Macaca fascicularis: one gene and its partner. The protein of the gene in region 1 binds, or shares a complex with, the protein of each later gene. Links are inferred from orthologs where the notes say so. Each region holds a gene or a part of one and is shown in the gene's direction. Other genes may lie near its edges. The genes, in order: PER2 and CRY2.

Region 1 (16,137 bases):
ACACACTAGACAGGGAGAGAGCCAGGGAGCCTGATGCGGGGGCCTGCCTGGGCAAGGTCCATGGCCCAGAAGGTCAGCAGGATGACACCCTGACCGATAAGAGACCCTCCACCTGGGAAGGAAGAGGCGCCTCGGACGTGGGGGATCACCTTGAACACGGGTATCACCTCAGACGGGGCATCGCCTTGGGTGTGGGGGATCAGCTCAGACAGGGCAGGCGTTTTGGCAAGTTGCCTCTCCTTGGGCTCCTTCAGGACAGTGAGGGGTATTGGCTGCCCTGAAGCCCTGGAAAGAAACTCAAGCTGCCTGAGACCAGAAAACCTGATCCACAAATTAGTCCACAAGTTCCTGAGGCAGAGACTTGACCTGCAACTCAAACCAGGAGTGCCATACAGCATCACCTACCCACTGCTACCCTCTCCCCACCAAACGGCACAGCTTTCGTCTCAGTTAAATCCTTGGTTTCACTTTTTATTTTTTCTTTGTCTTTTCTTTTTTCCTTTTCTTTTTTTTTTTTTTTTTTGAGACAGAGTCTTGCCGTGTCACCCAGGCAGAAGTGCAGTGGCATGATCTCGGCTCATGCAGCCTCTGCCTCCAGGGTTCCAGCAATTCTCCTGCCTCAGCCTCCCGAGTAGCTGGGATTACAGATGTGCGCCACCACACCCGGCTAATTTTTGTATTTTTAGTAGAGATGGAGTTTCACCATGTTGGCCAGACTGGTCTCGAACTCCTGACCTCAGGTGATCTGCCTGCCTCAGCCTCCCAAATCCTTGGTTTTTCTTAATGGCCTTAATGACCAGAAAGTTTGAAGTTTTAATCATTTTTCAAGTGACATGATAGCAAATTGTTTCTTGGCTTTGGTTAAAAGCATGCCTTTTATTTGCAAAACTGATAATAAGAGAAGTCAGTTGGGTACAATTTAACACTGAATTCTGTAGCAATAAAGAGGGCATGTATAGCATTAAAAAGACAGAATCTTCAGGTACAAATTATTTTATTCATTTATATTTTTTGTCTTAGGATACAATAATAAAGTAAACACATCTATACAGAGTATTGTATAGCAGAGACAAAGCTATGGCAATTTAAATTATTTGCAGATCTGCAAAAAAAAAAAAGAGAGATTAGATGTATTTGGGAGAGGTATTTTTGAAGTAATAACTATTGTCATGGATTAAAAGCCCACTGCACCTATGTATGATTGGGGAAAAAAAAAAAAAAAGCAAAACAAGGCTGGGAGTGGTGTCTCATGCCTGTAATGCCAGCACTTTGGGAGGCTGAGGCGGGTGGATCATGAGGTCAGGAGTTTGAGACCAGCCTGACCAACATGGTGAAACCCTGTCTCTGCTAAAAACACACACAAAAAAGCTGGGCGTGGTGACGCGCGCCTGTAATCCAAGCTACTCAGGAGGCTGAGGCAGGAGAATAGCTTGAACCCGGGAAGCAGAGGTTGCAGTGAGCTGAGATCATGCCACTGCACTCCAGTCTGGGTGAAAGAGTGAGACTCCATCTTAAAAAAGGAAAAAAAAAAAAAAAAGGAAAAAGAAAAACAAATAAAAGTCTTAGCAAATTAGAACATGTGGCAATGGACATCCATAAAAAAACAAACATCTAAGGCTCATCATACCTGGTGGTGAAATACTGAACACTTCCTCCCCCAGGGTGGAACGGGGCAAGGATGCCCACTCTCACCATTCTATCCCACATCAAATGCAGGTCTTAGCTTGTGCCACCGGCCCTGTGATCTCTAGGGCATCCTTTGCAAAGGAGTCATTGGGACAAGGATGCTAACGTTCCAGGCTCCAAGCAAGCTCCTTTCCCCGGGCTCTTCTCCAGGGCAAGGTGAAGAAAGATGGGGACTGCACATCCATCGTGGATGGCTCAATCTTGTGACTTCCTTGGGGAAGACATATGAGCACACCACACCCACATGTCTCCACCAAACAAAGAACAGCCTCCCTGGATCTATATTTAGTTTAAAAATCAAAAAGCCTTCTCAGTAGGTAGCTAGCATAATAAAGATGCCTTCTTCTTTTTTTAAAAGACAGGGTCTCACTCTTGCTCTGTTGCCCAGGCTGGAGTGCAGTGACGCAATCACAGTTCACTGCAACCTCAAACTCCTGGGCTCAAGGGATCCTCCTGCCTCAGCCTCCCAAGTGGCTGGGACCACAGGAGCATGCCATCATGCCTGGCTTTCTTATTTTTTGTAGAGACAGGGTCTCACTATGTTGCCCAGGCTGTTCTCAAACTCCTGGGTTCAAGAAATCCTCCCACCTCGGCCTCCCAAAGAGCTGGAAGATACTTCTTTATATTGGTCCACAAACCACCTCATGTCCAGGGACAGGCACCTGCTCTCAGGTCACTAGAGGCAAGTAGTCCTTGTCTCACCCTGAGACCCTAGACACAGGTGCCCACGCCCTTGAGGTCACCTCTCTGAGCCGGGTCTCCCTGCCAGGAGCTGCCACCATGCTAAGCTGGGGTCAGCTGTAGGTCAGCGCTGGGTTCAAGGGAGGCTGGAGAGTAAGGGTTGGGCATTACCATCTCCAATGTCCCTAAACCCAAGAAAGGGGATCCAGCACTAGAGGGCCAGAAAGCTTGACAGTGTCCCCTCCATCTCTTTAGAGAGGACTTTGGGGGCCACCACCTCCTCCATTTACAGAGGGAATTCTCTTCCTAGCCGCCTGTTCTTTGCCCCTCCAGCTAGCCAACCCACAAACCATGCCACCCACAGTGAGAGGAAGCAGTGACCAGCACAGTGCCTGGTACACAGTAGTTGCTCAGTAAACAACTGGCTGGGTGCTTGAGCGAATGAGAGGGCCAGTGAGTGGACTAGCAAGGGCATGGAGGACTGGGTGCAGAGAAGCCCTACAGGCAGGCCCAGACATAGATGGGCAGGGCCAACTTGGGCCAGGCTTACTGGTGGAAACAGGCTGGTGGGAGTGGGTGGGGCAGGGGCCAAGCAGCCTTTAGCTGGGAGGCCAGCTCCTCCCACTGGTAGCATTCCCAAGGTAGCTGGGGACCCTGGCATACCACCTCACCTCCACCCCCAAATAAAGGACTAGTTTTCTCCTAGCCAGCCTGCCTCCCACAGTGCCAACAGCAATTCTCCTACACAAGAGTTCTGAGCTCTGTGCTGGAGGTGATAGCTGGCCAGTGTGGGCTGGCTAGGAAAGGGTTCATCCCCCTTCCTTCTCCAATCTGACTGCCCAAATTTGCACTCGCTCTCTCTGTCTCTCCCCCTCTCTGTCACCATCTTGGTTCAGCAAGAATGGTATCCATGCACTTGGCCTGATTGTAGGAGCTCATCCCCTGAGCGCTATCCTCTGTTGGAGCTGGGATGGAGGCATCTGTCCATTGCTGTCCTATTCCCTCAGGACCTACACCACATCTTAGACAAAATTGCCTCTGAATCTGCCTCCTCCCCCCTTCTGCGTCACAAACTCCTTACAAGCAGGGATACAGTGAGACGTATTTTTGCATGCCCCTCAATTCTCAGGTGTCAACGAGTATTTGTGGAGTGTACAAAAATTTCCAATAATAGGAAAGAAGAAACTGGCTGTGAATAACTGAAAATAGATGAGATTCTGAAGAGTCCTAGAGCCCAAAGCACTTGATAATTTCTAAAAGAATAGATTTCGGTGTCTTTCTACCAGGTTTATTCGTGGAAATAGAAAAAGGCTACATTTAGGGAGGAAATGTGACATCAGGTAGCAGGCTGAATATGGAGCAAGACCCAGCAAAAGCCTGAAGAAGAATCTCAGTAAGGTGTGGATGAGCTGTTTACTCTTGTTTCCAGAACAATGGAGCTCCCCATTGACGTCAATGGGAGGGAAGAAACAAAAGAGCCTTTGGGTGTGTGCAGGGCGCAACCGGGCCTGGATTTGCTTGGCATTTCTGTGTGTCTGTGTTAGGGAGAGGGGGCGGGGAGTGTGTTGAGATGTCAATGTCAGAGGAACAGGAGGAGGGGCCACCTGACAGTGTGTGAACAGCCTGCAGGCCTCCCTGGGCTTCTGCGGGAAGGGCTGCCCTGATGAACTTGGTATTTGCCCTGGTTTGCATCTGAGAATTTGCACACACACCTTGTCAAGTAGAAGGGAAAGAGTTAGCACACTCAGGAATTCCTGATGTGGGTTAATAACTTTTCCTTCTGTCCCATCCCTGGTCCCCAGGCGAGTCCAGGTAAAGAAGAACAAGAAGAGTAAAGAGAGATGCTGCGGGTTCCAGCTTCCTGGACAATCTCGCCTTCCCCATGGGAGCCTGCACTTTCAGAGTCTGCTGCATGGGAGCCTGCAAGCTCCTGCCTGTCCTGTAAGTCTCAGGCTTCTACCCAGACCAGGGGAAATTGTACTCTCTCTCCTGACACTTTAAATGGAAGTTTAGAGGCTCATCATGCCCCAAACAATGCTTAGTGAAACAGCAAACCCTCAGACAAGGTGATGCACGCTGCCGCACTGGCTCCCAGGACAACCTCCCACCACGGGCTTCTCCGTCTCTACCGCTTGCACCTTCCTAAGGTGTCCCTTTCTCAGGGCCCATCCTACCCGCCCTGGAAGTGCTGCCTTTCTCACGGAGCCTGTGGGGATAGCTCTGGTTAATTTATAGCCCACATCGCCCAATTTAGCATTTGATTAAGTTTCCTTTTTATGAGACAGTCCTTTCTCCCTAGTGATGCGCTTGGGGGCAGAGACAACATCATTTCTTTCTTTTGTACCTCCCCAGAGTAACAGTGACTCTATTTCCTGAACCAAAAATTGTAACACGTGGTAACTGCCGGGACAAGTGTGGACCACAGGCACCTCTGAGGCCCGGGTGGGCGTGCCCCAGCAGCTGCTGCAGGGCGGTGCAGCCACCTTCTCCTAGGCTGCTCTGGGGCCCGGCGACGAATGAGTGAATGAGTAAATGAATGAATGTGTGAATGAAGCATGCTGCGCAGACTTTCCCGCGGCCCTGGCCGCTGGGGGCGCGCCTCTGGCCGGTGGCCGGAGGTGGAGGTTTCCCTGGTCGGGCTTCGGGGCGCCAGGTCGGCCAGGCCGGCCGGAGGTGCACAGGAGCCCCGCGCCCAGCTCCCCCGCCCGCAATGGTACGCGCCACTCCGCGCTCCCGGAGCTGGCGGACTCGAGGGCGTCGTGAATGGAAGGCGCCGACGCCGGAAGTGGATGAGACCACTAGGGAGGACGACGGGGGGCAAGAACGCGCCGCATCTCCATTGAAGAACCGACGAGGTGAACATGGAGTTCCATGTGCGTCTTATGTAAAAAGAGCGACGGGCACCGCTACCAATGGGCGCGCGGCGCTAGTGGGCCCCGCCCCACGTGTATGCAGATGAGACGGTGTCGCGGCCAATGGCGGACGCCGGGGGCGGGCGCGGCGCGCGCGGTCACGTTTTCCACTATGTGACAGCGGCGACTCGGCCGCGGCGGAGGCGGCGGCGCTGAGGGGCTACGTGCAGCTGTGGGCGGTGGTGGCGGCGGCGGCGGCAGCGGGCGCGGGTCCGGGCGGACAGAGCCACGAGTCGGCGGAGGGACCGGCGGACGGGCCGACGCGAACGCGGCCGGGCGGTAAGTGGCGCGGCGCGGCCCCGCTGCGGCTTACGTAACCGCCGCCCGCGCGTTGGCCTCGGGCAGGTCGGGGTCCCGGCGCCGCCGGGAGTTCCCTGGGCCGCTGGACTCCTCTGCTTGAAACGGCGCCGGCGTGGGGGCGTGTGCTGTTGGCCCTGTCTCAGGTGGAGGGCGGCCGAGCTGCGCGCAGGGTGCGCTCGTTTGAATTGCGCTGACACCGCGGGTTGGGGACTCGAACCCCCGTTTCGCAGCTCAGGAGCCTGAGGTCCGAAAGGTGAGGCGGCAGCGTGTGTAGGGCACCGAGTTGCTGAGTGACTGCGCGTGGGCTGCGGTTCCGTGGGCGATTCTCTTTTGGGAACCCTCCCTCCCCTCCCGTGGGGAAGGCCAAGGAAATCAGGGGTCAGCGCAGCTGGCCCTGGGATCTGGAGGTCCCTCGGGGAGCTGACTGCCTCCTCTGAGGCCACAGGGCCAAGTCCTGGGCTGGGGAAGGGCTGTGGAAGGGCGCTGATCTAGGAGCTTTTCCTGGACACCCACGGGTCTCCTGGAATGGGTGATCAGAGGGACAAGGAAGTCCCTGTGCCAAGCCAGGCCTGGGAACCTGAGGGCAGGGAGACCGCCTGATGTTCGCCCCTTTGCCTCCCCTGGACCACCCTGTATTAATTCCCTCTCCCCGGACTGGATAGAAAGGAATGGGGGTGTCCACTCTTTGGTGCAGCAGTCGCACCTACCTTCTGGGATGTACTTCGGCTGCCAAGTCCCAGACATAGACCAGGAGGTGGGAGGTGGCCTGCTTCCCCCTTCAGGAAGGCCAGGGTAAGGGATGACGAGTTGGTTGCCAGGGTTTCTGTAACCTACACAGAAGGAACCCGTTTGGAAAGCTGATTCATACAGAACAGAGCCAGAAGGCACCCTGAAATCACCCAGAGTAACCCCTCAGCCTGACAGATGAGCAAACTGAGGCCCAGGCCCAGGCTGTCTGCAGGATCTTCCCATCGCCCTGGGGCAGGATGAGCTTCAGAGGTTCAGTGAAGGCCTCAACTTGGGTGCTGAATCCTGGGTGGGCTGTAATTTGGGAGGAGGGGCCTTAAGTCCGGGAAATGTGTTAAGAACCTCACACCATGGCCAGAGCCCCCCTGGACCCCTCTCACTTTTATATGGCACAGCAGGATCACTAGACTTCTTGGCTTCCAAGGGGAGATGCCATCTTCTACCCCGACCTGGGGCTTCTGGTCCCAGACTGGGTGTGCCTGAGAAGAAAATAGGACTCTACCTGAAGGCTTTATTTGGAAATTGAGTTTTAAAATACAAGGTGAATTGAGTTTTGTGTGCTATATGACTATAATGAAGAAAGGGACTCCGTTGTTTTTTTTAAGTGGAAGCTGTGTGGTGTGCCAGCGCGGGGATGGTACCGTGGGTGTTTGCAGTTATCTGTCACTGTCGCCTTGGTGTGATTCATTGGTATAGAACTAACGCAGCCGTGGCTTTCTGTGGAGACTGGAGTGCCAGGTGGGAAGGGGGAGCCCTGCGTCAGCCAGCTGGCTGCTGCTGGGAGCCTTGGCTCCCAGTCTGGGCCTCAGTTTCATTTGTTCGGAGGGACTCAGATTGGGCAGTCTCAGAGGTCTAATTTAATTCCCAGGTTTTTGATTTTCTGTTACCCTACAGTTGATTTTTCCCAGGTTTCTCGCAGGAGACAGAGGCTTCTGATATGTTCTTGCCTTTGGGCCAGGTAATGTTCCCCTGTGAGCCACATCTGCAGTGCTTACAAGGAACAAGGAAAGATTCCTCTCCTGTGCACTATTTCTCATACACACTGAACTTTCTCAAAAATACTGGTCGTCACACTGCTGTTTTTAAGCCATGATGTAACTTCACCAGGACTCAGCAAACCACGGCTCTGTCAGGTCATTGAACAGCTGGCAGGGCCACTTGGCGTTTAGTCAGAAGAAAGACAGGCTCTGGGTGTGCTTTTACCTTTTGAAAACTACTCTGGCAGAGTGAGCCAGAAACACACAATTCCATAAGCTTGGCAGAGACTGTCCCCACACTTCTGGAAAGCTGACCAACCTTCAGAACCAAGGGAGAATCAGACAGTCTAGAGGGGGCCTCTGATGGGCCCCTCCCCAAGCCCAGGCACTCTCCCCTAGGGACCAGGCCCTCCTTTCAACTCATTATGCTCATCGTGTACACATTTGTAACAAGTTTGTTACCATATTTCCAAGTCTAGAGCAAATTAGAAGCAGTAAATGAACAGCAGTGACGGGTGACAGGAGTCAAGGCCACTTGGTTTTCAGAGGCTGGTAGTTCCCAAGACAGAGTGGGCTGCTGTGCTGATCCCTCACCGGCCTCGAAGGGTTCCTCGTGCTCTTCCTGGGGTGACATAGAGGAATCAGAATCTGCTCTTTAAGAAACCAGGTGCAGGAGGAGCAGATGCCTCAGCTTCCCGCAATTCAGAGTAGCTCAGCCGCTGACACTTTTGCCTTTCTTATTGCTGTAAAGTCTTGTAGTTCTAAAAATGTAAGGATTTAAAAGTCTGAATTGAGAGCATTAAAGGTGTCCTGGTGAGGCCAAGACAATGCCTCCCTGGTGCACCTCCTTCCCTCCATATTTGGACGGCTGCGGTCACATTTTCCGCAGTTACCCAACCGTTGCCATGGAGAGCGCGGCTGTTTATTTAGCAGGACAAACATTTTCTCAGGATTACAGCAGGCTGGCCTCAGGGATTTGGCTCCTACCAGGAAGTAGAAAACATGTTATAATATTTGGGGTTGTAAAATCCTGCAGCACTTGCAGAGACAGTACATGCTGTATGATCCTTATTATGTAAAGTTCAAAAGCAGGTAGAATTCACTAGGCTGCGAGAAGCCAAGCTAGTGGGTCCCCGTGGGGTAGACGGTGGCTGGGAGGGCCACAAGGAGCCTCTGGGGGGCTGGCAGTGTCCTGCGTCTGGTGACATGTGACATGGGTATGTTGTTTGTGGATATACATCAAGCTGTGACCTCATGAGGTGGGACTCCTCTGGTAACTGAACACTGATTTCTGATTTCCACAAAAAAATGCTTTTCTGCCTTAGGGTGTGAGGGTATGGAGTACAGTAAGACTTCACCAGTCCTGGCAGTGGCAGTGGAAACTGGAACTGGGTCCCAGGCTGTGCTTTCATTCCTAATTTTTAAACACTATTATGGAAAGTATGAATATCTATGAAAGTAGGGAGAATAGGGTAACGAACCCCTGTGACCCCACCAGCCAGTAGTTTCTGCTCCTGGCCCCTCTCCTTCCCCACCCCCACCGGCTGCTTCTCTTCCTGATCCCAGGCTCTCCATTCTTGTGGACTGTACTTTCTGAATGGTGCTCTGTCAGGTTGAGGCAACCCAGCTACCACAAATATGGCCAAGTGACCTGGTCAGGGGTCCGAGCTTAACCTGTTTCCTTGAGTCTGACTGTTCTTGTGGGCAGAGCCAGTGCGCAGACACGTGAAGGGGGCCTCAAGGGCAGGTTCACGCCCAGAGGCTCATGTTGGCTTCTGGCAGCCCCTTTTCCACCAGGCTGTCATTTTCCGTCCTGGGCTTTGGCACCCAGAGCAAATAAGTGCTTGCCCGCCCTTCCTCCCCCTACCTGCCACAAGGTAGAAACAGGTTTCCTAGGAGCTCACCAGGGACAGCTGGTCCAGCCAGCTCTGGGTACACATCTGTGGAAGGCAGGAGGCAAAGTCCACTTTGACAGGGGTGTTGGTTTTGCCACCTTCTCAAAATGAGGCTGGTCTATTAGAGCCGCCAGGGCTGAGACGCATTTTCTGGAATGACGAAGTTTCTGATGATTTGGCTTTCACATTTCTGCCAAGCTTACTCTGTCCTCTTTGCAAAAATACTTATTTTCCACTTAAGGTAATGTCGGGGCACTAGTGGGTCGTATTCAGACAGGCTCACAGGGGCTGGACTTGGGTGAAAACCAGGAGCTAAGTGCAAAATAGTGAAAACCAGGAGAGCTACGTGCAAAGTGCCCAGGGCCCAGACAGCTTCAGATGGTGGCTTCAGATGGTGGCTTCAGATACCTGATGCTCCTGCAAGGACTGCCTGGGCTGGGGGTGGCACTGAGTTCTTAGTCCTTTAAATACAAGAATACAAGCCAGAGACAGCTACTGTGACAATTCACTCTCTGTCTTTTAAAATTACTTTTGTTACCCTTCTGTTTTTCTTTTCTTTTCTTTCTTTTTTCTTTTTTTTTTTTTGAGATGGAGTCTTGCTGTGTCGTCCAGGCTGGAGTGCAGTGGTGCAATCTTGGCTTACTGCAGCCTCCATCTCCCAGGTTCAAGCAGTTCTCCTGTCTCAGCCTCCCAAGTAGCTGGGACTACAGGCACACACCATGACGCCCAGCTAATTTTTGTATTTTTAGTAGAGACGGGGTTTCACCATTTTGGTCTGGCTGGTCATAAACTCCTTACCTCAGGTAATCCACTGCCTCAGCCTCCCAAAGTGCTGCGATTACAGGCGTGAGCCACCGCGCCCAGCCCCCTGTCTGTTTTTCTGTAGTGATTAGCAGTGATAATACAAGCTAATATTACAGTCCAGATACCTTGCATGGATTGTGTCATTTAACCCTTCTAACAACCAGTAGGAGACAGAAACTACTGTTGTTCCCATCTCACGAATGAGGACACAAGGCACAGAGAGGTTAAGGAACTTGTCCAAGATCACACACTTAGGAAGTGGTGAAACCCAGCTGAAACCCAGGCCATCCAGGACCTGTCCCCTTAGCCACTCTGCTGCTACCTCTGATCACCTTAATGACTCACTCAGAGCATAAAGGACCAGCTGCTTGTCTGGGGGAGGGCTATGGGGATGAGATGGGTGGTGTCCAGGATATTGGGGGGGGTCAGGAGTGACAGAATGCCCTTGGTACCCTGGACAGCCTCTTGGCAGCTCCACTGAACCATGGCAAGAGTGCCCTGAGAGGTCTCCTTGTTTCCCCCTTGCCTCAACCCTGCAACTCCATTAAAGTGTAAGTCACATCTTGTTGCACAGAACTCTCCATGGTTTCCTATCGGAGTTCTGACCATCTGCCCCCGCAAGGCACTCCGTGATCTGGCCTTGCTGCCGCCCTCCTGCCCCTGCCCGCTCTGCTCCAGCCTCGTGCACCATCCTCAGACAGGTCAGGTGCTCGCCTGCTGGAGGGCCTTTGTGTGTGCTGTCCTCCTGCCTAGAATGTTCTTCCTTGTTCTTCCTCTGGTAGCCCACTCTCCACGCTCTCCAGCTCTGCCTTCAGGCTCTCTTGAGAACGGAGTCTGAGGTGAGCTCTTTACTGGGAATTGCAGTCCCAGGGTAGCAGTAGAAAAGGAAAAGGGAGGTGAGGAAGAAAAGTCTGGAAAGCACACACAAGATGACACCCTGCTGAGATGAGGCTCTGCCTTACAGACACACACAGCTGGCTGCTCACCCTGTTGGGACCTCTTCAGAAAGCCTGTCCCAAAAAAGGAAGGAAAGAAAGAAAGACAACTTCAGAACGGTCCGTTTGAGGGAGAGACGGAGGCGGCATTTTCTGCCAGCGCCACCTTGCCTCCTGCCCAGCACGTGAGCTCTCCCTCCTGTCCAGCTGCCTCATCAGACCCTTTGGCAGCAGCCGGGACAGTGAGGGGCAGCAAGGACCCCCACAGTGGAGTGGCACGTTGTCTGAGTCCACACAGGGCAGGCAGGGACAGAGACACCCAGTCCCAGCCTCAGGTGTGAAGCCAGAAGGAGCTGCTGGAGCACGTGACTGCCAGCCTGAGAGAGCGAAGCCCAGGGACTCTGAGTCAGTTCACACATGAGGGCTCAAGTGCAAGGTCCTTGCCAAATGCCACCTACACCTGGGGCCACCCTCACTGAAATGTCACTCCCAGCCCCTCTATTCCCCCTTGCTAGTTGCCTGCTGTACTGTATATTCTACTTTCTTATTTATTGTCTGTTTCCCCCTAATGTAAGCTCCCTGAGGGCAGGAAAGATGTCTGCTCTGTTGTCTGCCCCAGTGCCAGGCCTCAGTGCTAAGCGAGTAAGGGCAAGTCAGTGGGAAACTGCTGGCACCAGGCGGGCCCTGCCTGAGTGCCATCTGTCCTTTTTATTGTTGTCGTTATTTATTGTTCTTGGACTTGTTCATCTATGTCTGAGACTCTCCCCACATCAGTGTTTCTGGCCTCCGTCCTTTTAGTGGGTGTATAGTATTCGGAGCATGGATGTCCCAGGTTTGTGTCTTCAACAGTACGTGCCAGGGCCTGGGGATCCAGTAGTGACCAACTCAAACCCCTACCCGCATGGAGCTTAGGTCCCAGAGGGGAGGCAGGCAGTAAACAACCCGCCCCTCAGTGCTGGCAAGGAAAGCCCACAGAGCAGGAGTGCAGGGCACAGAGAAGGAGCTGGTGGGCAGGCAGTGCTGTTCATGCAGGCTGCCCAGGGCATCTACAGGAAGAGGGCTGTGGGCACGAGGGAGCAGCAAGTGCAGAGTCCCTGTGGTCAGAGCACACAGGGCTGGGGCCAAGGGGTGGGCAGTTAACAGGACATGCCCAGGAGATTGCAGGAGCTGGACTTGCAGAGCCTCTGGCCCTCATGCCCACTAGAGCTGTGCTCTGAGCAAGGGTCTGAGCACAGGCCAGGTGTAAGCTAAGCCCCTTCACCAGGATCGCTCTAGATGCTGTGTTGACCATAGCAGGGCCAGGTGGAGGCACGGGACCAGTTTGGAATTTGAGGCTGGCTCCTGGCCAGGATGATCGTGGACAGGATGCGTAGCCTCCTTGTTGATGGTTCTTTCCAGATTTTTATATTCCATGCTCACACATCTCTGTGCACATAAATAAGCACTTATCTGCAATGGATTCCTGGAGGTGGGAAGAGTATGCAGATTATAAACGTTGCTGTGAACTCAAATTTTTCTCCAGAAATACCCTATTACTATACCACCATACTCAAGAGCCACTCCTCCACCTGACCAACGCTAGGGTGAGCAGTCCTGTTAATTTTTGGCAACCTGATGGGCATGATAACCTCATCCTTTGCATTTTCCTGATGCTAATGAGGTTGAGCCTGTCTCTACAAATTCACAAATCTTTGGTGTTTCTCTTTGTGGGAATGGCCTAGGCAGTCTTCGTGCTTAGTCTCTCTCTTCCCAAAAGGTATTACCATTCATCTTTCATTGAATTTGCTAGAACTGCCATAAAATGTAAACAAACAAAGACAGGAGTAATAGACTTGCTTATTTTGTTCCTGACTTTAAGTGGAATGACGCTGGCATTTTGGGTTTTATATGACTCAGGATATTGATAAAACCAGCTATGTAACCCACAATCAAGTATCCTGTAATTGAGATTTCCTCCCTTTGACCATAAGCTTTTCCTCTCAGAGCTATTAATATATATAGATAGACAGCTGGGCACGGTGGCTCACGCCTATAATCCCAGCACTTTGGGAGGCCGAGGTGGGCAGATCATGAAATCAAGAGAGCGAGACCATCCTGGCCAGCATGGTGAAACCCCATCTCTACTAAAAATACAAAAATTAGCTGGGTGTGGTGGTGTGTGCCTGTAGTCCCAGCTACTCAGGAGGCTGAGGCAGGAGAATCGCTTGAACCCAGAGGCGGAGGTTGCCGTGAGCCAAGATTGCACCGCTGCACTCCAGCCTGTTGACAGAGCAAGACTCTCTCTCAAAAAAAAAAAAAGTAGACATTGTCTTCTGGAAATTTAATATTGCTGAAGAGATATCCAAGACTAGTATGATTTTTTTTCATCCTTTATGGGTAACTTGTTTGTTCTCTTTGAATGTTGATAGGATTTTCTTTATCCTTGGAGATACTGTTTGTCATCTAGATGCAGTTAGGCGTTGGACTCCTGTCCTTTGATTGGCAGATTCAGCTCTGTCTTTGGCTCAGGATGGTTCTCTATGTGTCTCGCTCATTATGGTTTCTGGTTTATTGTTCTCGTCTCTTTCAGAAAGAGCTGTAATCCACAGGTAAAACCCGGCCCTCCTCCGTCTCTCTTCCCTTCTCCTTTCCCTTTGCATTTTAAAAGTTTCTCATGCGTCTCCTCCCTATCACTGAAGCCATTTTCTTTTTATTGACTCTGAACTTTGTCCTTCCTAGTTTTCCATTCTAATGTGGCATTTTCATGTCAGACTGTGTGGCCTTATCGCATCCCTCATTACTTGTTTCATTGAGTCCATCACTTCTTGTATTTTTAGGATGAAAAGTAGATGCTGTCCTAATTTGCTGCTTCCTCTGTGGCATGAGGGTTGTGTTCAGTTGTCTTTGCTGTGTGTCTTTTCCGCAGCCCCGTATTGGCTTTCTTCTGTTTATTAGTTTTTGAACAAGGCAAGGTCTAGTCAGCCCTGCTGTTCTCCAGACACTGATGTGGGTGGACTCTTCGTGAGCCCTGCCTCTCACCAGGCTGTCCCGGAGTGGCTCACCCGTGAACGGACTTGACCTGGGGAAGGGGGTGCTGAAGGCTCTCGTTGGAGCTTAGCCATTCAGTTCCTAGGGCCAGCTGTTGGAATCCGGCTCCCTGTGTGTGCGGCCCTCAGTATTGCTGGATGGTTTCGAGCCCTTTCTCAGAGTCGCCCTGTAGGGGAGGGCACCTGGGGGTGTTCAGTGGGTGAAGCGTGTCCAGGAGAACCTCTCCTTCCCACAGGATTTCTGTTCCGGTGTCCGTTCTTCTCCCACAGCTTCCTCACGAAGCATCTTCCTGGTAGTAGAGCTCTTGACAGTCCAGCCTTGACCGTGGTTCAGGCCGTCTTCTTCCATGGCGGGGGATAGCAGGGATCTCAGCACTAGCCACTTCCTCAGGGGGATTTGGACTCCAGTGCACTCTTCATGCTCCTTCCATCTGAGCGACAAGCAGCAGGACGGATCTTCACTTTGTGGCGAATGATTGGGACTTCTAGGGCTGCTGAAAATAATCCCTCCCCCCAACCAATTGTATAATCCTTGGTCATTTCATGTCGGTTCTGGTGGGAAGGAAGTGGAAGGGGAGGCTCTCCCAGAGCTAGATGGGAATTGGAGCATAAGATGTTTCACAAGATTTGGGGTCTGGAATCTAGAAACCCTTCTCTCCCCTTGTTCCGCCTGCCCTGGGAAGGGCCAGACGGATGCCATGCAGAAGTGGCAGTGCCACACTGGACCAGAGTTGGGGCCGAGCACAGTGCAGTGGCAGGAAGCAGGAGGTCCCCGCGTAGCCAAGCCTGGTTGTAGGGTGGGGGTCCCATCTTCAGATGCCGGCAGGCCTGGAATCCAGGGCCATCATCTGCTACTGTGTGGTCTGGGGTGAGCTACCCACCCCTGTTGGCACCTCTGTAGAGCAGTCCCCTGCACACCATGTAGACAGTGATCCAAAGTTGCTGGGAAGGCTGTGTGTTGAGTGCTTAGCATCATGTCTGTAGTCAGCAGCATCACCCCAGAGCCTCACAGCTGTGTTCGTTAAGCATGACCACTTGTGTCAAGCAGGGCCTTCATCTGGCTCTCTCCAGTGCCCTGCTTGAGTGGGTGCCTGCTTCCTGCTGGGACCCTGCTGAAAACGCTGTCCTGGGGATGGGGGGACATCACTAGGTGAAGAAGAGAGGACCCAGGATGGTATTTTGGCCTCCCACCTGCTAATCAGTCCCACCCCTCCCTACTGCCTGTCTCTGCTCACCCCCTCAGTTCGTGTCCAGGATGATCACTGGTCTGTCTTTTTTCAGCCATTCCACCCACCTACCCCAAAGTGCTGAGGTAAAGCTTCTGCCCAGCACAGCAGTGTGAGCCTGTCCAAATGCGAGCTGAGTTCCGTGGGCCTGGCACTCAGAGTGCCTCAGCAGCTCCCAACCATTCCTAGTAAATGTGAACCCACATTGTCCTGGTCCCTCCCCATCCCACTTGTACATGCCTGCGGGGCCTGGGACTCCCGAGCTGCTGGGAGGGTTCCACACCTGCCAGGCCCCTCTGCCCTCTTTAGCCAGCAAGCCCTGTCTGTCTCCATATCTCCTGCTAGCCTTGGCTCCTCCTCCTGTAACTGTGCCGTGTGTAATGGCCAAGATTTCTGAACCCGGCTCCCCTACCCCACCATCATCTGGGGAAATTTATAAAAGGCAGATCACCCATTCAGAGGGACTGTGTGCTTCTCCCAGCACTCCACAGGCTGGGCGGTGACTGTCAGTGCTCTTGTTTTTTCCCAGCACTCCACAGGCCGGGCGGTGGCTGTCAGTGCTCTTGTCTGCCTTCTGATGAGGCCTCCAACAGCTCTGTGTCGGGGGCTGAGGCTGCCTCATTCAACCCTCTTCCTAATCCATGGCAGATAGGAGCTCTGTCAATAAGAACAAATAAGTGATGTGATGAACTAATATGTGTGTGATTGATTGCAATGAAAGGGCAGTTTTGGCTGGGTGCGGCTAGCCACAGCTGGCCTGTAATCTCAACATTTTGGGAGGCTGAGGCGGGCAGATCGCTTGACTTCAGGAGTTCGAGACCAGTCTGGGCAACATGGCAAAACCCTGTCTCTACCAAAAATACAAAAAATTAGCCAGGCATGGTGGTGAGTGCCTGTGGTTCCAACTACCCTGGAGGCTGAGGTGGGAGGATCGCTTGAGCCCAGGCA
Region 2 (15,914 bases), on another chromosome or scaffold:
GGGATTACAGGCACCCACCACCATGCCCGGCTAAGTTTTGTATTTTTAGTAGAGACGGGGTTTCACCATGTTGGCCAGGCTGGTCTCGCACTTCTGACCTGGCGATCTGCCCACCTCAAACTCCCAAAGTGCTGGGATTACAGGCGTGAGCCACTGTGCTCGGCCAACACTCCCTTTTTATTGCCAAATGATATTCCATTGTATGGAGAGACATTTTATTTACCCATTCATCAGAAGACAGTCATTTGGGTTGTTTCTACTTATTTGGCTATTCACACATTAGTTTTGTCTGACTGCGAACTTTATGTAGTGGATATATACACATTGTGTTTTTCCATCCTCACACCACTATAAAGAACTGCCTGGGACTGGGTAATTTATAAAGAAATGAGGTTTAATTGACTCACAGTTCCACATGCTGTACAGGAGGCAGGGCTGGGGAAGCCTCAGGAAACTTACAATCATGGCAGACAGGCGAATGGGAAGCAAGTACATTTTCACATGGGTGCAGGAGAGAGAGAAGGAAGGAGGAAGTACTACACACTTTTAAACAACCAGATCTTGGGCTGGGCTTGGCGGCTCATACCTGTAATCCCAGCACTTTAGGAGGCCGAGGTGGGTGGATCACGAGGTCAGGAGATCGAGACCATCCTGGTTAACACAGCGAATCCCCGTCTCTACTAAAAACACAAAAAATCAGCCGGGCATGGTGGCGGGCGCCTGTAGTCCCAGCTACTCAGGAGGCTGAGGAAGGAGAATGGCATGAACCGGGGAGGTGGAGCTTGCAGACAGCCCAGATCGCACCACTGCACTGCAGCCTGGGCGGCAAAGCGAGACTCCATCTCAGTACAAAAAAAAAAACAGATCTTGTGAGAACTCACTATCATGAGAACCGCAAAGGGGAAATTCACCCCCATGATCCAATCACCTCCCACCAGGTCCCTCCAACACTGAAGATCATAATTCAACATGACATTTGGGTGGGGACACAGAGCCAAATCATACCACATATGTAAATATTTTCTTTGGTTTCTGGCTTCTTTCACTTAAGTTTGTGAGAATCACCCATGTTACTGCTGCCTATAACTGTAGGTTTTTTGTATGGTATTCCTATGTTTGAATACAGCACAATTTTTTATCTATTCTTTGGCTGATGGACCTTTGAGTTATCCTTGATTTATTATTATTACTAATAATACTGCTATGAACATTCTTGCACATGTCTCTTGGTGCACATGTGCACGGATTTCCGTTAAGTATATGCTAGGAGTGAAACTGTTGCGTCATAGAATATATCGTTCATGATTTGTAAGGTATTTGGCTTTTCAAATTTAATATATAATAACAGTTTTTAAAAATGGTTGTATCAATTTACAATCCCAACAGCAGTGTATTTTAATTGCTCACATCCTCCCAGACACTTGATTTTACCAATCCTTTTAACTTTATTCATTCTCGTGGGCCTATAGTGGTACCTCATTGTGGTTTTAATTTGTAGCTCCCTGATGAACTAATGAAGGTGAGTACCTTTTCATGTGTTCATTGCTCACTTAAATATCCATTCTTTGGGGCGAGGGTGTGTGGAAAGTGTCACAGGTAGCCACTATCTGGGGCCAGCGTCGTGCAGGCAGTAAAAAGAATTTACCAGGACAGTTGTAGGTAAAGAAAGGCAGATTTATTAGAGAAAGTATGAAAATACATTGCAAGGGTGCAATGGGCAGGTCAGCAAGAAGGGAACTGACTACAAAGAGACAAAGGCTTGCTGGGGATTTTATAGGATGGTGCTTGTGCTATGTACTGAAGAGGACTTTGTGCAGTGCTGATAATGCCAAGGTTGCAGTGAGCTAACTTGTATTTTTCTATCAGCCAAGGGACTGGTGATAGCTGGGCACAGGAGGGCAATGTGTCCTGGACCACAAAGAAAGGCAGACTTACAGTTTATCTGCTTTTTCTTTTTGCTTTCCTTCAATCTCACCAGTCTGACTCCTTTTGCTTAATTAGGACTCCACAGAAAGTGCCTATTCAAGTCTCTGGCCTAGTTTCAAATTGGGTTGCCTATCTTTTTTTATTATTATGATTTCTAAGGGCTGTTGACATATTCTGGATTTGAGCTCTTTAAGAATTATAAATATTATGTAAGTATCTTTTCTCATTCTATGGTTTGCTTTTTCACTCTCTGAATAATGTTTTTTGATCAACAGTTCCTAATTTTAACATAGTCCAACTCATCAATATTTTCTTTAACGGTTAGTGCTTTTCATGTCTTTTTCAAGAAATGTTTGTCTTCTCCCAAGGTTGCAAAGATATTCTCCAATACGATCTTCTTAAAGCTTTATTGTTTTACCCCTCACATTAAGCATATAATCTACCTGGAATTGATTTGTATGTTGTGAGATGGAGTCAACTTTCACTTTTTTACAACAGAATATCTGATTGACCCATTACTTTCCCCACTTCTTTACACAGACATCTTTGTCGTGAATAAAATGTCCAGATTCATGTGGACCTGTTTCTGGATTCTCAATTCTGACTCATTAGTCTATTCACCTTTCTCTAATTTCATACTGTCCTTTATTATTAGTATCATCATCCCCATTTTACAAATGAGGAAGCTAAGGCACAGAGAGGTTAAGTAGCTCGCCCAATTAAGTAATTTGCTAGTTAATGTCAGATCTGGAAATGGAACGCAGGGAGTTTAGTTTTACGGTCTATGCTCTCAATAAGCTTTACTGCTTCTCAAGCTGAACAGTTCCAATAACAAACATTTTACGTCACTACATCAAAGTAGGCTTTGCGTGAAGCCTTGGGAACAGGGATGCCGCGGTGTTCCCCGCACAGCCGAAAACCGAACCGCCGTTGTCCCAGTCCTACCACTAGAGGGCGCGGGTAACTTAAACTCGCCGGGGAAGTCCCTCCCGCCGCGCCCGATTACCTTTCAGCCAATCATCAAATATTTACCCAAAGCGCGGTTCAAAGCCAAAGTAGAAAGTTGTTTAATCCAGTCTCCATGCAGGACATTAACAAAAAGAGACAAAACAGGACTAATCTATCTGCGTAAGCATCTTCAGGGAAGAAAGACGCCACTCAGTTCCTGGCTAATTCATCTCATCCTTAAAGCACCTTATCCTAAGTCGTCTCTCCAATCTTCACTCTTCCTAGTGTAAACTAGGTTGTTTGACATCCTCATGACAACCACTCTTTGGAGGTACTTTTTACAAGGTGTACACTAGAGTGCATTATTATGAGGTCAAAAATTAGCTCTTATTTCTCTCGAAGAGACAATAGTACCCCATTATATTTCACTTCCTTAGCAACGTACAAGTTTCTTTGGTCTCTCTCCAATTTCTCCGTGTCCCTTTTAAAGTGTAAAAACCCAAAGTGGACTTTGCACCCTATTCTATCTAGTGTCAGATTTACTTCCCTATTCTTTTTTTTTTTTTTCGGAGTCTCACTTCGTCATTCAGACTGGAGTGTGGTGGCATGATCTTGGTTCACGGCAACCTCCACCTCCCGGGTTCAAGCGATTCTCCTGCCTCAGCCTCCTGAGTAGCTGGGATTACAGGCACGCATCACCACACCTGGCTACTTTTTGTATTTTTAGTAGAGACGGGGTTTCACCATGTTGGCCACATCAACTCCTGACCTCAAATGATCTGCCTGCCTCGGCCTCCCAAAGTGCTGGGATTACAGGCATGAGCCACCGCACCCAACCTGCTTCCTGATTCTTGAATGTTACACTGTTAATATACTAAAGCAATATGCAATTATTCAATGAAGTATTAATAGTTCATCTTTGTTAACTTGACAACACAAACCACACAAAAAAAAACCACACAAAAGTAACGATGCAGCAATATACAACAGGCTTAATATTTTAAGTTTCAAAAAAGCTGGGCCAAGTGCAATGGCTCATGCCTATAATCCCAGCACTTTGGGAGCCCAAAGAGGGAGGACTGATAGAGGCTAGGAATTAATTGCTTAAAGACCAGCCTGGGCAACATAGCAAAGCCCCTGTTTTTACCAAGAAAAAAAAATGTTTTTTAAATTAGCTGGGCATGCTGGTGTGTGCGTGTAGTCTTAGCTACTCAGGAGGCTGAAGCAGGAGGATCCTTTGAGCCCAGGAGTTTGAAACTGTTATTGAGCTAGGGTCACAGCACTGCACTCCAGCTTGGGTGACAGAACAAGACCCTGTCTCAAAAAAAAAAAAAAAAAAAAAAAGAACAGGCAGGGCATGGTCGGTGGCTCACACCTGTAATCCCAGCGCTTCGAGAGGCCAAGGTAGGTGGATCGCCTGAGGTCAGGAGTTCAAGACCAGCCTGACCAATATGGTGAAACCCTGACTCTACTAAAAATATAAAAACTAGCCCAGTGTGGTGGCAGCCGCCTATAATCCCAGCTACTTGGGAGGGTGAGGCAAGAATTGCTTGAGCCCAGGAGGCGGAGGTTGCAGTGAGCGGAGATCACACCACTGTCACTCCGGTGACAGAGCGAGACTCCGTCTCAAAAAAAATAAAAAAAGAAAAAGAACAAACAAACTATGCAAACCATGGAGCACTGAACCTCTGCTTTGATTACAGTCTGCTTAGGTGTTTGTGGACAAAGTCTAGAAGGCAACATGAAGATAAGAAATAATTGATTTGTTAGGTTTTGGGAACTGAGGTTGATTACTTTTTTCATTATTGGCAAAATTTCGAGGACTTTTAAAAAATGAGTAAAATATTTTATTTACTCAGCAACTTATGGAGCCCACATTACATGTACGACCCAGGGCTGAGCATTACAAGGAAGAGAAAACCAGACACAGATCCTGCTGCTCAGAATAACAGTAGCTGATACAGTACAAATGCTTAGTATATCCTAAGTGCTATTATCACCCTATTGCAAAGATTAAGAAAGTGAGGAACAGAGAGGTTAACTAGCTTATCCAAGGTCACAGAGATTAAAAGCAGAACTAGAATTTGAACTCAGCAACTCTAATGTGCGAAGCCTAGGATTTAACCATTACACCACACTGCCTCTCATGATAGCTTAATAAGAGAGAGAGTGGAGGGGAGGGAAATGACTTTTGATCATTTGGCAAATGTTTTTCGAGCACCTACTATATGTTAGGTACCAGAGTACCAGCTGGGAAGACACTGATAAGTAAGACAAGCACAGTCCCGGGCTCACAGAATACAGATACAGCATTACGGGAATTTAGAGGAGTAAAAGGGAAGAGGACTCATCTCTGAGGTTGTTTAAGGGAGAAACACCTCCTTACACTCTGTTCCATTCCTAGCAAAGCACCAACCTTGTGGAGAGAAGAGGGGATAGGAGAGGGGGAACACAAAACCTTAAAATAAAAGTAATGAAAGGTGGCATCGATTTATTCAGCAAGCATTTGGAAAGGAAATTCAAAAATAAGGACAGGGCCAGGTAAGGGGACTAGGATAAGCCTCTAAGAGCCTGCCAATATGAGACTCTAGTGCAATTTTTACTCAAATAATCCTTGAGCGTTAGGTGCCAAGCACTGAGCTAGACTTTGGACATACAACTGTAAATAAGCCACAGCCCCTGCTCTCCAGGAGTTTATACTTTAATGGGGCATTAAGACATTTAAGCAAGAAATTCCAGTATTGTGTGCCAAGACAAGTGACCACAAAGAAGCACAGAATGAGACGGGGCACTATTCAGGTTGGGATCAGACAGCAAGAAGGTGACATCTACACTGAACAATGATACAGAGCAAACTGGAGTTAGAAACAAAGAAGGAAGAGGGAGTGTGATCTAGACTGCGGGAACAGCTTGTGAAAAGTCCTGGAAATGGCAGAGAATGCCTAGGATTGCAGTGACACTGGTTTAGAGAGTGGTGCCAATTAATGCCACTAAATTGCAGACTAAATTGCTAAATGCTTTCATCACACTGTCCCAGGTCCAGGAAGGGTTCCAAGCATGGGCTCAACCTAGGGCCAAGTTGAAACTGACTGTTCTCCACCTGATAACCCCAAAGCTGCAGCTTGACTAAGCCATCTTAGCCTTCCCCAACACCTTGTTGCTGGTGTTTATAGCTTCTCTTGCCATTTAGTCAGTCAATCAGCAAGCTCTATGCTAGACGCCAGAGGAATAAGAGGGTTCCACCTGGCGTCCCAGAAGAATGGGGACAGTGTCCTCCACATCTCTGAACCCCACCCGGAATCCAGTACAGTGCTTTGCACACAATAGTACCACTGGATCTACTAAACAGACTAAAAGAAAATAAATTCATCTGATGGCATAATTACGAGCTCAAGTCCTCCACATTCCCAGTCCCTACTCCCAAATCCTCTAATGCTGCGTATCAGGGCACTCCTTCTCCATCCTTGGACTCTGCCACTTGGAATTACCAAGGATCTTCGCACAAAGAGAAGTATAGCTTCGTGGATAAAAGCAGAAGTTTCAAAATCAGAATAATATGGGTGAAATCCCTCTTAGTAGCTTTATGATACTGAGCAAGTCGCTCAACCTGCGGCACCCTCCATTTTCTTCATCTGTAAAACAAAAATAACAGCAGCTCTTCCACTGGTGTTCGTTAAATGAATGTAACTGGGCTGAGTTCAGAATAGTAAATGAGACCGACTACGTAAGGAGATGATCATGTCTCTTGCCATATAAAGTGCACTTAATAAATGGCAGTTGTAGTAGAATGATGTAGATGATGCTGGTGACGATGTTGGTGATAATAGGAAGGTCAGTTGTCAGTTTTGCAAGTCTCTGGCTGTAGTCACAGCAACCCCTACCAGCCCAGGTAGCTTCTTCTAGAAGCAGGCCCTGAACAGGACATGTGTAAGAGATCCGCTGTACCTCGAGACTCGGCCCACTCCCGGCCCTCCGCGGACTGTGCCAGCCTGCGTCACTTGTCCGCCTGCCAGCTCCACCCAGGCGGACCCACACATGGTAGGAACGTGAGGGGGCGGGGCCTGTTCTGGCGTCTCTGGGCCAATCGCCGGGCGGGAGGCACTCAGCCAATGGCACAGGGGCTCTAAGGCCCTGGGGGCGGGGACGAAGGGAGGAGCTGCGGCGTCATAGGTCACTGGGCGGTCTGTGGGCGGGGTCCGCGTCGCCTACCGGGGCGGAGCGGGGGTGGCCGGAGCAGTCTGGACAGTCATGGCGGCGACTGTGGCGACGGCGGCAGCTGTGGCCCCGGCGCCAGCGCCCGGCACGGACGGCGCCTCTTCAGTGCACTGGTTCCGCAAAGGGCTGCGGCTCCACGACAACCCGGCGCTGCTGGCGGCCGTGCGCGGGGCGCGCTGCGTGCGCTGCGTTTACATTCTCGACCCGTGGTTCGCGGCCTCCTCCTCAGTCGGGATCAACCGATGGAGGTGAGGGGACCCGGGGCGGGGTGGCGGGGACGCAGCCAGGACCCTGACCCTGGGGTGACCGGCAAACAGCACGATTCTCTCAACCTCTCCACGGCTGTGAGGCCGTGGAGAAGCCGAGACCGGGGAAGTAATTCGTCATGGTCCTAACGCGCCGGTGGGCCAGGGCTCAGCCTCTGACAAAGCGCGTTCGCACTGTTACCCCTCTGAGCCTCACAACTGCCTGTGGAACGGAGATCATGATCCCCGTTGTACAGATGAGACCCTTGGGCCCTGGAGACCCAAAGTCGACCTGTCCAAGGACTTGCAGCCAGTGAGTGGCGGAACAGGGGCTCCTGGTCTAGGGCTCTTATGGTCTACTCAGGGAGGGGCAGAAGGAGATACTGTGGTGTGAGGGCGGGACGGGTTTTTGCTCGCATTCTTCAAGTAAAGAGCCCATTGCTGGGCTCGGGGAGATCATTCCTAAGCCTCTGGCTTGTTTGAATCCGCCCTACCACCCATCCTGGCTTCCCTGCGCCCAGACCGTCCTGCCTCTAGGGGTGTCAGGTGACCCTGGCTTAGCATTAAATAAAGTCTTCTCCCCTATATTATAAATAAAGAAGCCAAAGGTGTCTTCAGGTGGAATCGCGTTGTGTTCAAAGCTCCAGAGAATCCAGGGGATTCTCCAAAATGGTTTAAGCCCTGCTCTGGAGCTTTGACCTCGATAAAAAAAATTTAAAAGGATCCAAAGTGTCACCCCGTCATCCTCTTGTCATGATTTTAGAGGACAGTTGAGCCATTAGAGATGAGACTTCTATGAACTGTTGTGCTAAGGTTAGGGAGCAGGAAAGCCATGATATCAAGGGCCCCTCTGATGACCCCCCAGGAGATGGAGTCGACATGATCATGGAAAAAGATGAACAGGTCGTTAATGTATTTTCTTTGTAAGCAGTATTCAAATTAAAGAGTTTTGAGACATCATGTACCCATCGCTCTTCAGAACACCTAGTGGCAGTCGCTGGGTTTGTTTACATTGTTCTGGGGAATGTTTGCTTGTGGCCTTGTTGCACTGATGGACAGGGTTATTTCCAGGATACCGTGGCTCTCGGCACACCATTCTTTTCTCTCCAAGGTGTGTACCCTGCTAAGAGAGTGAGTGCTCCTAGCAGTAGGTCTGTTCAGTGTCCCCTCTTGCCCAGTTTATATAGAAGGAACAATTAAAGAGTCCTGTGGAGAGCCTGCCCACAGTTTTCAGGCTGCCTTATTGCTCTGTCTCTGCTCCAGTTTTCTACAGATAGGAGGTTGGGTTTGACAAGCATCATCAAATGACCATCCCTAGTGTGGACATTAAGCCAAGCCTCAGACTGCCCTGCACCAGTCAGAGCCAGCCAAATGGAATCCGACTACCTTCTTGTTACATTGTCACAGAGTTTCTTCTTTTATTGGGTTTTGGGGGACACTGCCTAGTACTACCTACTCTTTTTTGATAGGGGAGATTAAAAATCAACAATAAAATTCCTGTTGATTAAACTCCAGTTTGCTAGGAACCAGGTGTTTATGGATTTTTGTGGGTTATCGTTTTGTGATTGTGCTGTCAATCTAGTGAAGGAGAAAAGGAATGTGGCTTAGATGCCTGAGTCAAATCCTGAAGTCAGAGGCTGTGTAGGAATGCAGATATTAATTGATTACTTAATGAATGCCTAATATCTGCCAGGTAGTGCTCTAGATGTTGCTAGGGATACAGCAGTGAATAAACAGATGTGTCTGTGCTCCAGAACTCCTGGAGCCTACATTTTATTGAAAGAAGACCAGCAAACAACCATAATTTAGTGAAACGAAGTGCCATGAGAAACATAAGATAAGGGGACAGACTAGAGCAGTGGTTCTCAATCTTGGCTGCTATGTATTGGAATCCCATAAGGATCTTTAAAAGATGCCTGGGCCCCTTTCCCCCAATTCTTTTTTTTTTTTTTTTTTTTGAGATGGAGTTTTGTTCTTGTTGCCCAGGATAGAGTACAATGGCACAGTCTGGGCTCACTGCAACCTCCGCCTCCCAGGTTCAAGCAATTCTCTTGCCTTAGCCTCCCAAGTAGCCAGGATTACAGGCGGCCACTGCCACATCTGGCTAATTTTTTTGTATTTTTAGTAGAGACAGGGTTTCACCATGTTGGCTAGGCTGGTCTCAAACTCCTGACCTCAGGTGATCTACCCACCTTGGTCTCCCAAGCTGCTGGGATTACGGGGCATGAACCACTGTGCCCAACCCCTTTCCCCCAGTTCTGTTAGAATTGTTCTTGGTTATGGCCTGGGCATTAAGGTTTTGGGGTTTTTTGTTTGGTTTTGGTTTTGGTTTTTGGTTTTTGGTTTTTGGTTTTTGGTTTTTGGTTTTTTGTGGGGTTTTTTGAGACAGGGTCCTGCTCAGGTGACAACCCAAGCTGAAATGCAGTGGCATGATCATAGCTCACTGCAACCTTGACCTCCTGGGCTCCAGCGATCCTCCTGCCTCTGCCTCCCAAGTAGCTGGGACTGCAGGCTTGCACCACCATGCCTGGCTAATTTTTGTATTTTTTGTAGAAATGAGGTTTCACCATGTTCTCCAGGCTGGTCTTGAATTCCTGGTCCTAAGCAATCGCCTGCCTGAACCTCCCAAAGTGCTGTGATTGCAAGCATGAGCCACTGTGCCCGGCCTTGGGCATTAAGGTTTTTAAAACTCTTATTGCAGCAAAGCTTGAGAAGCACTGGACTAGAGAACCTCAGTCCTGAGCTGGGCAACCTAGGAAGTGTGTTGCAGTGCATTGACAGGAAGTCTAATTAGTCTTGGCGTTCAGAAGAAAGAGGTGAAGTAACACAAACAGATTGAATATAATAACTGCTCCTGGGCCTGGTAACAGACACACTCCTACCACCTCCACCATTCTGCTTGCTTCCTGGATCAGTTGAAGGCAGAGCTGCATTCTCTTGTGTACAAAGTTGGGGATGGAGGGGAGGACTGGAGCCAGCCATATCTTGACATGACTGTAGTATGTGTAATCGTCCCGTGGCTGTTTCTGGATTCCGAGAGTGGTCTGAGAGAATTGTGCTGCACCATAAGGTCCTAGCTCTGTAGCTGCTTAAGTTGCCTCTGAGAAGCCTCCCTAGGAAGGCAAGGGAACATCTGCAAGGAGGGGAGGACCCAAAATCTGTGACTCTATTTCCCTCCTGCTCCTCCTACACTGACTCCCACACAGTGTTTTTCTGCAGATGAAATCAGATTAAAATAACTATGAATGGCACTAGGAGTAAAAAAGGACAGAGAAATGCAACCAAGAAATACACATATTGATTAGCAAGAAGAAGGCTAGTATACTCCCTGCCTTGGTGATGGTGGGAAGTTTATGGGCTAATTGTAGCTATATGAGCCTCAGGACTTTTTTTTTTTTCTTCCTCCCAAGTGCTGCTTGGCTAAACCCTTTCACATTTTCTCCAGCCTCACCTCCCCCAAATTTGCTACATCTAGAAGGAGGTACTGCAGCAAGAAGATAAACAAAAGGAAGATGTGAGCAGTTCCTAGATTTTAAAATGGGCTCTGTGGTTTTTCATTACCTTTCTCTCCCCACTGCGACTTAGGTAGGTGTTAGCCACAATTCCTCTTCCACTTTATTGAAATCATTTTGTCCCTGGCTCTGTGCTGCACCTCTTTCAGGAGCTTCCGGGACAGAGGGAATTTGTGAAAATAAAATATGTTCCCTCTCAGCCCCTTTCTCTCAGAATTGGTAAATAGGGTAAACTGAGAACTTCCCAGGATGTGCCATGAGAACAAGTGTGCCTCTCTTCCCAGATGCTGAGAGCTGAACACTGTTGGACTGTTGGGAAGTGGGTTGAGAACTCGTCTACTGGCAGGGAAACAGGAGCTTCTCTGAGCTATTCACGTTGATATCTGAGAGAGGCACTTTACCGTTCTACTGCCAAGGAAATGTTTCTGTTTGCCCAAAGGGGATAAAAACCTTCATCCTTCTCTTTGAAATTAGGAAAGAATAAATATATTTTTAAAATAATAAGTATTTAATATTTAAGTATTTCTAAGTATTACTCAGATACTTAGAAATAAATCCCTGCCAGAGATTGTGAGTTTAGGTTATCCTTTTCCATGGGGCTTAAGCGCTCTTAATTACTTAGGAAAAGTTAATTTCTATTAATATCCTATGTAGCCAATCTGTGCCAGCCAATGGTATCATCATTATTGTTAGATAACCTTGGCTTGAAGCAGAAGAACTTGGTCAAGGACAGCCTGGACCCAAAAGAATTCACTGTTATCTTCCCTCCCCCTATTAACAACAAATAAATAAAATATTCCTCAACACAGGGTCAGTAGAGACAGCCATCCGTAGAGAAGGCCTTCCCAAAATGTGAGTACTTAATCAAAGGATCTGCTTGTTTTATTCTAAAGGCTAGCCTTGTAGAGTCCCTGAGTTATAGTGTCCTCTCTGTATTTTTGGAAATCCCAGTCTGGTTTTCTCTAGTTCTGCCTGCCTCTGGCTCCAGAGCACTTACGTAATAATGTAATTCAGTTGCACATGTTGTCTAATCCAAAGGGTAAGCTTTGCTCTCCCAGGACCATGTGCTCTGAATTTTGGCCATGTGAGCTCAGCTAAGAGCTGCCAAGGGTGAAGTGCCAGCCCCCAACACTACCACCTCCAATGCCAGGCCAGTTTCCTTCAGAGTCCCCTCACTGGAGTAAAGAGAAATTGGAGTAAAGAGGAGGGTTCTAAGGCACCACAGAAGGCCCAGGGTTCTCTCTGGTGAAAGAATGCATATACCTGCCCAGTGAGCCTTTGCCCAGTCACGGCACTGCTCCAAATGTGATGGACAGCTGTCACCTGGCAGGCCTCAAAGGTGGTACCCTAGTGGTGGCTTCTCATTCTATGCATTCTCTCGCTGCCTGGAGTCTGGAGATACTGGGGACCCTCCTCACATCTCCGCCTGTTGCCTCCGTGTGGTGGCTGTCCTGAGCCCTCCCTTCCTGGGTTGACTCGGGAGGGAAGTTGGAAGAAGCAGAGCATTTCTAGCAGGCCAAAGGGGAGGCAGAAATATGGATGCCCAAGAGAGAAAGTTTAGTAGAAACAAACTAGAAGCAAAGAAAGGCAACTTGTAACAGAGGCTAGAAGTAAAATTCAGTGTTCTAGAGTAGTGCTTGTGAAACTTTAATATGCAAATGAATCACCAGGGGATCTTGCTAAAATACAGATTCTAATTTTGGAGGTCTGGGTTAGAGTCTGAGATTCTGCATTTCAACAGACTCCTGGGTGTTTCATAGCCAATGCTGCTGATTGTCAGAACACACTCAGGAGGAAAGATCTGGCAGCAGAGGTGTTGTTGGCCTTTGAGTTGGCCTCTGGTGCTCCCTAACGGCTGAGCCCTGGGCAGCACAACCTCAGTGCTCTGTTTGTTGAGAGGCAGTGGCTGGCTAAAAACAAACATGTCAAGCCTGACAGATTGCCTGGGTTTGAATTCTGGCCACTTATTAGATATATAATGTTGGGCAAGTTCCATAATCTCCCTATGCCTCAATTCCCTCATCTGTAAAATGGGAATGATAATAGTACCTACTTGATTGGGCGGTTTGAGAATTAAATGAGATAATATATGTGAAACAAGTAGAATAGTGCCTGTCAGTGTAAACGCTCATTAAATGTTAGTCATTGCCATTATTATCATTGTTTTTATTGAGTTGCTGGGTTCAGAGTTGGGCCTTCTACCAGCCTCACATCTCTGCTTTCTGCTGTAAACATCTCTTGTGAAAGAAGAAAAGGCTCTCATAGGATTAGCTGTACTTTAGAGATGCTACGAGGAATTTCTCCTTTTAGTAAATGAGATCTAAAAATAAAGTTCTATAGAAGGCAGATTGCTACATGTTCTGGAACCTAGATTTCATGTGCATTCCAACCTTATTTATAGCTTCAAATCAAAGTCCTATGCAGCCTCGTGGACTGTGAAGGAAAAGGCCCCTGAAGCGCACAGTGAGGACACTCCTGGGAGCTGCAGATGGAGGACCCTGTGTCCTGGGGTTATGGAATTTAAATCACCGCTCCTAACCCTAGGCATTCTACCTGGCAGAGTCCAGCTTTCAGATGGCATGAGACCATTTGCATGGATTTCTCTTCTTTTCCTTCTAGAAGAGTGGTGAGGCTTGGGGGAGGCCAACACAAGTGACGCACTTGCAGCTCCCTTTTCCTTTTCTGGAGGTGTCAATTTTTCAAAAACAGAAATTCACAGAGGTGGAGCTTTTGGTTTGCATAAAGCAGCATTCAACCTGTTAGTCTTCCATCCCAACCCCTCAGAGAGTCTTCCACATGCTCTTTTGCAGACATGATGCTTTGAGCCGAGCCCAGGGCTCAGCCCGTGCTAGAATGTGGGTCGGTGGCACTGGCCGTAGGAGTGTGTCAAGTTGTGTACGTCAGAGGCAGCAGTGGGAGCTGGTTCTAGTTGACAGCCTGGGAATAGTCACTGCTTCTGTAAGCCTCCAGTAGTGAGACAATGTGACTGTGATGTGCCATTCCTATTGTTGACAGAGAAGAATGCTGGGGATGGGCAGAGACCCAGGGAGTAGAGAGCGGGTGCCTCGGAGGTGTCTGTGACATATGCAGATTGGCCTGTTTGTTCCTGAGGAAGATGAGAATGCCAGTGGACTACCTGTAGTCAGATTGCTATTAGAGAAAAGGGTTTCAAACTCCTGAGGGCCTGCAGAATCTCAGCCCTGGAGCAGAGTTGGCGTACAACTAGAAATCTTTAGAAATGGGGCACAAAGCCCTGCACGGTGGCTCACACCTGTAATCCCAGCACTTTGGATGGCTGAGGCGGGCGGATCACTTGAGGTCAGGAGTTCAAAACCAGCCTGGCCAACATGGTGAAACCCCATCTCTACCAAAAATATTTTTAAAAAAATTAATTGGGTATGGTGCACATACCTGTAACCCCAAATACTCGGAAAGCTGAGACAGGAGAATTGTTTGAACTTGGGATGGGGAGGTTGCAGTGAGTCAAGATTGCGCCACTGCACTCCAGCCTGGACGACAGAGCAAGACTCCGTCTCAAAAAAAAAAAAAAAAAAAGGCACAGAGAGGAAAATGTGGGTTTCAGAGTGACCACCCTAGGTTCCTGAATCCCCAGCTTTGTCACTTAACAGCTATGGTCTTAGGCAAATTAATTTACATCTGAGTGTCTCAGTTTCCTCATCTATATAATAAGGATGGTACTATTTCCTTCAAAACAGTTGAGAGAATTAAATGCAGAAATGCACTTAAAAAGCATGACAGAACCAAAATCCCATTGATAACCTTGGTTGCCTCTGGGGAGGGAGGGAGGGGAAAGCCCTTTTTACTGTGTACTGCTTTGTCTCTGGAATTTTGAGCCACATGAATAGTTTATCTGGTTATAATGTTAATTTAACTTAAAAATAAAACACTGAAGGCACTCAGCAAGTGTTAATTTCCTTTCCCTTTCCCCTGGTGATCCAGGTCTGCTGCTGAAGTTCTTGCCTATCTGTAGTCTTCCCCATCCCCACCCCCACAAAAATGTGAAGATAGCTATTGAGAAGTACCTTTTAAAGCCTTCTCCTTCTTGGGATGAGAACCTGATCACCAGAACCTTGGAGAAGCCTGGAGAGTAAGCCACCTGCCAAACAAAGCTGTGGGAACTAGGGACCCATTGCCGGCTGTGAGGCTGTGGCAGCAGAAATACGCATGGCCCACAGCATGCGTGCAGAAAGTCAAGGAGTCTTTTCCACCAGAGTAAGGAGGATTTTCCCAGCTATGGCAGTCTGCTCCTCTGCTAAGAGGACCTTAAAGCTTCATACCACTGTATTGCACTGGCTTTTCAGATGGCTCCCATGTGAGTCTCACAACAACCTCGTGCTGGGCAGATACTTATATCTAGCCCCCGAGACTGCGAGGGAATAAGTGACTTGCCTCTGATCACACAGAAACACCACACTAGGAACAACTCACATTTATCTCGTGATGTCTGTGTGCCAAGCACGGTGCTAAATGTTTTTCACACATTATTCGATTTTCTTTTCTTAGCAATTTGATGAAGTACTAACATCAGCTTCACATTACTGGTGAGAAAACAGGCAAAGAGGTTAGGTGATTGCCTAAAGTCACACAGCTAGTAAGTGGCAAGGCCAGGGTTTGAAGCAGAGCAGCGCTGATCCACCACCACATCCCTCCTGGGCTGGAACCCTGGCCTCTCCAGCCCTAGTGATCATGAGGCTGCCTGTTGGGCATAAACAGTGAACCAGTTTCTCCCTGCTTTGTTAGGAAAGAGAGCCACTCTTCATGATGTTATCACTAACAAGGCCTGTGTGAACTCTGCAGGTTCCTACTTCAGTCTCTGGAAGATTTGGACACAAGTTTAAGGAAACTGAACTCCCGCCTGTTTGTAGTCCGGGGACAGCCAGCCGACGTGTTCCCAAGGCTGTTCAAGGTAAGCGTGCAGAGCCCCAGAGAAGACAGTGAGATTCTGTCCCTGAGGGTTTCCCCACAAGCTGAGTGAGATGATATTCCGACTGAGGGAATGGAAACATCAGGGCTGGTCTGGCTATTGCTGCTAGAGAAGTTGGGAGCA

Evidence for each region.
Region 2: the proteins of PER2 (region 1) and CRY2 are in contact, whole or in part, in a crystal structure (PDB 4U8H), measured with the Mus musculus proteins. The link is inferred for Macaca fascicularis from reciprocal best matches to the Homo sapiens genes PER2 and CRY2. Residues at the interface, in NP_035196.2 of Mus musculus: Tyr1132, Leu1134, Gln1135, Asp1136, Pro1137, Trp1139, Leu1140, Met1142, Ala1143, Asn1144, Thr1145, Ile1149, Met1150, Met1151, Thr1152, Tyr1153, Gln1154, Leu1155, Arg1158, Asp1159, Leu1160, Val1163, Leu1164, Asp1167, Gln1168, Lys1170, Leu1171, Leu1174, Gln1175, Ser1177; in NP_034093.1 of Mus musculus: Trp58, Ser63, Ser64, Val65, Lys163, Leu166, Thr167, Lys169, Arg170, Glu215, Leu216, Gly217, Phe218, Asn330, Pro331, Ile332, Cys333, Ile334, Gln335, Ile336, Pro337, Asp339, Asn341, Pro342, Glu343, Leu345, Ala346, Lys347, Ala349, Glu350.

The regions. Positions count from the first base shown.
Region 1 is NC_088386.1:134,192,069-134,208,205, reverse strand, and holds the start of PER2 (period circadian protein homolog 2), read left to right. Parts: upstream 1-5,391; 5' UTR 5,392-5,558; exon of another isoform or gene 5,559-5,832; intron 5,833-16,137. UniProt on the Homo sapiens protein: Transcriptional repressor which forms a core component of the circadian clock.
Region 2 is NC_088388.1:20,009,775-20,025,688, reverse strand, and holds the start of CRY2 (cryptochrome-2), read left to right. Parts: upstream 1-7,109; 5' UTR 7,110-7,122; coding exon 7,123-7,337; intron 7,338-15,664; coding exon 15,665-15,773; intron 15,774-15,914. UniProt on the Homo sapiens protein: Transcriptional repressor which forms a core component of the circadian clock.